Linked DNA regions of Danio rerio. Each later gene encodes a partner of the first gene's protein in a complex. Links are inferred from orthologs where the notes say so. Each region holds a gene or a part of one and is shown on either strand. Other genes may lie near its edges.

Evidence for each region. Proteins that work in one complex are often made in the same cells at the same time.
Region 2: polr3b (region 1) and polr3glb share a complex: the UniProt entries of both Homo sapiens proteins name them as parts of the RNA polymerase III (Pol III) complex. The link is inferred for Danio rerio from reciprocal best matches to the Homo sapiens genes POLR3B and POLR3GL.

The regions. Positions count from the first base shown.
Region 1 is NC_133193.1:16,747,173-16,750,686, forward strand, and holds part of polr3b (DNA-directed RNA polymerase III subunit RPC2), read right to left. Parts: intron 2,876-3,514; coding exon 2,748-2,875; intron 1,536-2,747; coding exon 1,326-1,535; intron 1,141-1,325; coding exon 982-1,140; intron 621-981; coding exon 503-620; intron 410-502; coding exon 267-409; intron 1-266. UniProt on the Homo sapiens protein: Catalytic core component of RNA polymerase III (Pol III), a DNA-dependent RNA polymerase which synthesizes small non-coding RNAs using the four ribonucleoside triphosphates as substrates.
Region 2 is NC_133191.1:47,264,629-47,268,914, reverse strand, and holds the start of polr3glb (DNA-directed RNA polymerase III subunit RPC7-like), read right to left. Parts: upstream 2,809-4,286; 5' UTR 2,614-2,808; intron 2,380-2,613; 5' UTR 2,377-2,379; coding exon 2,269-2,376; intron 566-2,268; coding exon 436-565; intron 1-435. UniProt on the Homo sapiens protein: DNA-dependent RNA polymerase catalyzes the transcription of DNA into RNA using the four ribonucleoside triphosphates as substrates. Specific peripheric component of RNA polymerase III which synthesizes small RNAs, such as 5S rRNA and tRNAs.

The DNA.
Region 1 (3,514 bases):
GTTAATATCGCTAAATTTTTGGATTTTTTTATTGCAAATGAAAATCAAAGGGCACTTGTGAGGGAATTAAACCATCCACAACTGCATTTTAAATGAGAACGGAGACATTTTTGAAAAACACTAGACCACACACATGTTGAGCATGCTATGAAACAGTATTCTTTAAAATGCTGTTCGCTACTGTGTGAATATGTGTAAAGAAAAACAAAATATAGCTTGGACACTAAGCAGAGAAGATGGCAGTTTAAAAGAGGACTGTGTGCTACCTTTCTGTCCATGTCGACTGCTGAACTTGTCTCCGATCTCTGGTCTGCGTGTTTGCCTGAGCAGGATCTTGACTAAGAAGGCGTCCTCTGCATTGGACGAGATCATCACCTTCTCAATGTAGGAGTCTGTTGCTCCTTTGTACCTATAGAACCAACAAAGTGGGCATTTGGGTTGCTATCGAATGACAACAACAAACTTGTGTCTGGCTTTTAGAAAATTAAGAACGGTGTCTTACGAGACTGGCACTTCTCTGTATTGTGGCTGGCCTGGCTGGGCACTGCCCTCCAGTGGTGTTTGGGTGACGGTGGGCATGGACTTATTCACCAACACCTGTTTGTTCTCAACCTTCTCACCTACAAGAAGCATAAAGCACCTTTCACACACTGCTAGATTAACATTTTAAAGGGATAGTTCACCCAAAAAATGAACTCAAGTGATTGTTTTTGTTCAGATGAACACACAACAAGAAATTCTGAAGAATATTAGATAAAAGCAGCCAATGACATCCGTAGTAGGAACAAAAATAATCTGAATGTCAATGGCTGCTTTTTTTTTTTTTTTTTTACAACATTCTTTAATATATTCTCTATTGTGTTCAAGAAGAAAGAAGCTCCAACAGGTTTGAAACAAGTGAAGGATGAGAAAATAATGACAGAACTTTCATTTTTAGGTGAACTATCCATTTTTAGACACATCTCAATTGTAGATGTCTACCAGGTGAGCAGATGCCATCAGCGTCCAGGATGCTGTGTCTCCAAATGGGCTTCCGCGTTTCTGCGTCCAGCATTGGACCCATCACCTTGTCAAAAGTCTGATTTGTGTACCTCCTCAAGGTGCACTTAGCGTTTTTATACACCAAACATCTACCAAAGCCTAACACAAGAAAGAAAAATCAGAATACAACAGTAATATACTTAAATATACTTAAAAATACTCAATAACTGTTAAAAAAGTAAAAATATTCTCTCCTGCATGCTAAGAACACTTCTAAGTGTGTTTAAATATGAGAGAGGTTTGTTTTTTGCCAATGTGGTCATAATTAAGAGTTCAGCTCTTACCTCTGTCGAGAGAAGCTTTATTGAGCACCAGGGCATCTTCTATATCATAGCCGCTGTAGCTCATTACAGCCACTGTGGCATTCTGGCCGGCGGGTAGCTTCTCAAAATCTATCAGCTCGATGGTCTTGGTCTTCACCATGGGCCTCTGTGGGTATGCCAGCAGGTACATCAGGGTGTCTATACGATTCCTCTGATTATAGCCAATAGTACCTAATCAGAAACAGTGATGACAGGATGAGACGTCACTAAAAAAGGACCACGCAAAACTTAAAAGGAAAAGTGCAATATTAATGCATTCATAAATATGTAAAATTGCATTTAACATATATAATAATAATAATAATAAAAATAATATTTCATTTAATGACAGTATTATTATTTATGAGGCATTTTGCCACTTTTGCTCTAAAATCCTTTATAAATATTGGTTCAGTCAGTGGTGTGATTCTGAGGTTGACCTTTGGTCATATAACGTAAGATAAGGCAGTGTTTGTGAAATTAGTTTAGAGACTATTTCATTTGGTGTCACAAGTAGCACAAAAAAAGGAGAAAATTCCCAAGAAACATACATTTTAATAAATTACAAAACACTTGAAAAATAGGAAAAGCTAAATTAAAAGGACAGCAATGACAAAAACAAATGTTAACATCTAAAAGTTTAATGTAAATTATTACCACAAAATCCATTACATTGCTTCCAATTAACTAATTCAGTAGATCAAATCAATCTAAATTCAATCATTTCACAGACTGCCTGAGGGCTGTTGGAGTAAAGGCCTGTGTCGATAGTGTTAAAATCTATGAGATGGATGTTTAGCATGGAGAAGATGGAGGGGTGTGGGGGGGGGGGGGGGGGTTTATACTATAATAGCCGACGTCCCTTGAGGCCTTGACATTTGTCAGATGCTATTACTCTACAATCAGGCTACAAGCACACAGTGTGTTATAATAGGGCCGGGGCCACACAACTGGATTTGCACATGTATGGGGCTGTCCGTCCAGAAAAAAAGAAGACAAGGCCGAGGATATTGGGCCAAATATAGTCGCAGTCTCAGTGGTTTTTGTAATGGGGGTGGTGGACAGGAGAGGTTTAAGTAGTTTTGGTAACCAGGGCAGCAAAGTGTGTGTGTGTGTGTGTGTGTGTGTGTGTGTGTGTGTGTGTGTTTTCGTTCGCTCTTGCACAGCTGAGCACACACTAACCCTGAGCTCAGGACACAATGAATGGCTAATGACACTCAGAGACACTGGCAGGGAAAGGCCTTCTTCCACACACACACACACACACTCACTCACAAAAGTGGGACTACGCAAGCAGGCAATGTTTGATGTCCACATGCAGAATGTGGTTTTGTGAAAAGCGAGTGAATAGAAGTGTGTGTGTTTGTAAGTGCGACTGCTCCTCCAGGATGTTTGTGGTCTTACCCATGGCCTGCTTGCCCATGGCACACTGGTAGGTATTTCTGGGGGACTGGTTGTGATGAGGGTAAGGGATCAGACCAGCGCAGACACCTAGTAGAGTAAAGGGTTCGATCTCCAAATGAGTCGTATCTCTGATTGAGAAAAACATGAGGGTGGTCATATTAGTGTTGTCATCAACTAAAACTTTAAGAAGAGATTTTAGGTAAATAGAAAGAATTTTACGTGCAGGTAAAATGTCCATTCTAATGGTTTAAATAACTTTCGTGAAAATGTGGGTAATAAACTATTGATTGGGAAACAGTGTAGGATAATACATTTCACGCTTCCACAAACGCTAATCACTCGTTTATTCATTTCAAACCTATTCAAAGGGCATATTTAACCACATGTATACAACATCCTTATTTTAAGTTTAGTGAACCAGAATCTATAAAACCCTATTGACAAATAATGTGAGAATGTCCGGAGGAGCAGAAACTTTAGGACATTTTATTTAAAGCTACAAAAATGTGTTTCCTGTATTGTTATTGCTGAATGATAACTCTCAATTTCCCTTAAACACAAAGGATCGTAAATTTTGGTTAGCTGCTTCAACTGCTACAAGAAAATGTTGGTACAGAGGTGGAAATCCCCTCATGATCTGTCTGTTAAGCACTCGTTGTATTCACTACTGGAAATACTGTACCTAGAACTGCCATCAGCATAGATCATCCATGCTAAACTGGACATTTTGAGGGTGTGGAAAATTTATATATGTGACAAATCTTACA
Region 2 (4,286 bases), on another chromosome or scaffold:
CGCCTGTGTGAAATAAAAGCCGTTTCTAACATATCAATTCGAGGTGTTGGTTAGGACAAAAACTCCTTTTAATATGGAAAATATTTGTTCTATCACGTGCCGTTGCTTTTATACTGAACACGGTTTACATTAGGCTTGAGACTCGCTCCTCTTGGTCATCTGGCAACCTGCACTTGCATATGTTTTGATTCTGGAATGTAATTCCTAGTTCAACCACTGGGTGTCAAATTACATACCTTTAAACATTTGCACCTTTAAATGTTATTTACAATAATTGCATTAAGACTCAGGATTAGAAAAAAAGGATTGCATATGTGCCAAAGTGTAGAAATCGCATGTTATGTAATTTCGAAAAAAAAATGACATGATACAATGAGCATAATATAAGCCCTTTAAAGATGTCAGTAAAGAGCTAGTCCTGGGCTCTGAACTGACCTTTCTTGGGAGCCGCTGGACGGATGTAAAACGGGAGCGTCTTCATGGCTCCCCTAAACTCCTGTTTGAGGGCCAGCATGTACTCGGCCTCCTCACCTGCCTGCAGGGGCACTGGCTTCTGATCCAGAGGCTGAACACATCAAACAGCACATTCACATCTGTCTGCTGCTCACACAAACACCTGCTGTCACTCATTTACACATGCCAAGACAGAAATCAGCTTTTAATAGGGCATACAGCTAAAGTCAGAATGATTTTTTTCTTTTTTAAAATATTTCCTAAATAATGTTCAACAGAGCAAGAAAATTTTCACAGTATGTCTGATAACATTTTTTCTTCCGGAGAAAGTCGTATTTGTTTTATTTCGGCTAGAATAAAATCCATTTAAAGGTCAATATTATTAGCCCCATTAAGAAAATTTTTCTTCTTCGATTGGCTACAGAAAAAAAACATTGTTATACAATGATTTGTCTAATAAACCCCAATCAACCTACTGTAGTTAAGCCTTTAAATGTCACTTTAAGCTGAATACTAGTATTTTGAAAAATATCTAGTCAAATATTATGTACTGTCTTTATGGCAGAGACATCTACAGACACTTAAAATGGCAATAAAATTATTTTCTTTACTGTAATAAAAATGTTAATTGAAATAAAAAAAACATACAGTTGAAGTCAGAATTATTAGCCCCTTTTTTATTTTTTTCCCCAATTTCTGTTTAACAGAAAGATATTTTTTTCAGCACATTTCTAAACATAATAGTTTTAATACCTCATCTCTAATAACTGATTTATTTTATCTTTGCCATGATGCACATAATATTTGACTAGATATTTTTCAAGACACTTCTATACAGCTTAAAGTGACAGTTAACGGCTTAACTAGGTAAATTAGGTTAACTAGGCAGGTTAGGGTAATTAGGCAAGTTATTGTATAATGATGGCTTGTAGACTATCGGAAAAAAAATTGCTTAAAGGGGCTAATAATTTTGACCTTAAAATGGTATTTAACAATTAATAACTGCTTTAATTTTCCAGAAGAAACAATATTATCAGACATACTGTGAACATGTCCTTGCCCTGTTAAACATCATTTAAAAAATATAAAAAAGAACAAAAAAATTCAAAGGGGGGCTGATAATTCTGATTTCTACTCTTACTTCCAGCAGGATAACGCGCCATGTCAGAAAGCACAAATCATCTCAGACTTTTTTTTTTAACATCACAATGAGTTCACTGTACTCAAATGGCCACAATATTCACCAGATCACAATCCAATAGAGCATCTTTGGGATGTGGTGGAAAAGGAGATTCACATCATGGATGTTTAGCGGGCAAACTGCTTGATGATATCATGTCAATATGGACCAAAATCTCTGAGGAATATTTCCAGTATCTTTTTGAATCTATGCCACGAATGATTAAGGCAGTTCTGAAGACAAAAGTGGTCCAACCCAAAACTAGTAAGGTGTACCTAATAAAGTGGCCGGTGAGTGTAAGTGGCTTATTATGTAACTGTTAAGGTAAATAAGGTGGAATACTGTGATGATGTGTTCAACAATAAAACAATTTGAATTCTAAAACAAATATTTAAACAAATATGTTGTTGTGATATTAGACACTTTTAAAATGTAATGTTTGCTGAATGTTGAACAGGACCGTTTTTTCAATGCAATTTCTGTGTAGCTCGTGACGCCATCCACATTAAACTATTAAAGCACTGCGTTTATGCTCATGAAATGCAGAATCTGACTCATATCTTGATAATAGCAGTGTATAACAAGCGTATAACAGTTTATAAACGAGGCTTTATTGTTGTGTCTTGAAGACTCACGGGGAACAGAGGTGTCGGCTGGATGCAGGACGGAGGGAGATTTTCACCTTTACCGATCCCAACTATCTCCACAGAGAAAGTGAGCTGCCCTCTGCCCCTTCCTGCCATCATCTGAGACAAAATATTTCACATTTATTAATCATACATCCTCTTTATTTAACTCGTTTATCCGTTATTCACAGTATAAGTTTACTCATTATCAAACAACTAAATTCGGCTAGAAAAGACACATTTAGGCCAAACATGTTAAAATATTTATTTTTACATAAATGTACTTTTGGTAAATGTTTTATTTTCAATGTAACGTTTTATTTGTTTTGACCGAACTGTAGCATATAAACACACCTCTTTCACTCAATGCGGCGAAATCCCTCTTTATTTTCAACTTCGTTTCATTGTGCAAAGGTTTTATTGGTTAATCCGTCAGTAAACGTGGTTGTTTTTAATGTAATTTCAGGTTTTATTGATGTAAAATTGAGCAATAAAATCACCCGCCAAACATCTGCCCGTTTGTTTTTGCCCGCTTCTGAAAACACTCCTGCCAGAAACATGAGCGCGGTCTTTTATGGTTCCGCGTTTCGCGTCAGTTAACGTTAACCAGTGCTACTCAAAGTGAATCATGCTAAACAAACAAATCATTACAAAATATGTAAGGATTCATTACATGTTTTGCATATTGCTCACAGAGATGCTGATGCACATGCTAAAGATTATTATACTGTAGTCAACATTTGAAGTGGATCAAAACCTTTATCAAAGTTGTTCCAAAACTATTCAACAACACACATTTTTAACTTAGGACAAATTTTGATAAACATTTTTGATCTGTTTTAAATGTTGGCTATTATTTATTAAAACTACTGTTTATGTAGCCTATAACTAAGTTACAACACTTTATTACATATGTGAAACATATTTGTCCGTGTACATACAGTATAGATATTTCTGTAATTCATGGCTTTATTGTATAATACTCACAGACACAGTGCGTGTGTGTGCGCGTGCATGCGTGTGTGTGTGTGTGTGTGTGTGTTTACAGTTGAGGTATTGTTATTAGCCCCCCTTAGAATTCTTTTTTCTTTTTAAAATATTTCCCAAATGATGTTTAACAGGGCAAGGAAATTTTCACAGTATGTCTGATAATATTTTTTCTTCTGGAGAAAGACTTAATTGTTTTATTTTGGCTAAAATAAAAGCAGTTTTGAATTTTTCAATGAAAATTTTTAGGGTCAAAATTATTAGCCCTTTTAAGCTTTTTTTTTTTTTTTTTTTTTGATAGTCTACAGGGGTTCTCAAAGTGGGGGACGCGCGACAATGAAGGGGGGGGGGGTCGCCTAGTTATTTCCAAAAATCGAGTTATTTTTATTAAACCATAAGAATTACCATATTTTATCCATAACCTACTGAAGAGAAAAATCTAAATCATCTTTATAGTGATTTAACATTTTAACATCTTTATACACTATATACTGCTGTATTGAGTTACTATAGTAGCTTCTAGTTACTAGTTCTATTGGATTGCGACCCCTGGGGTAATTACATTATGTTAAAGACAGCAATAGCGTCAGATGTAACAGACTGATTTTATAACACCAGGTTAAACTTTCTGGCACATTAACAGCACTGACATACATTAATTCCACAAAGAATAGACATGGGTTTCTGTACTTATAACCACCTCAGAGGATGTTGGGAGTCGCGAGTCACTGGCATTGTCGTTTTGGGTGTCATGGGCTGAAAAGTTTGGGAACCCTTGGATTACAGAACAAACCACTGTTATACAATAACTTGCCTTATTACCCTAACCTGCCTAGTTAAACTAATTAACCTAGTTATGCCTTTAAATGTCACTTTAAGCTGTATAGAAGTGTCTTGAAAAATATCTAGTCAAATATTATATACTGTCATCATGGCAAAGATAAAATAAATCACTTATTAGAAATGAGTTAATGTTTATTAAAAAACTATTATGCTTAGAAATGTGTTGAACAAATCTTCTTTTCGTTAAACAGAAATTA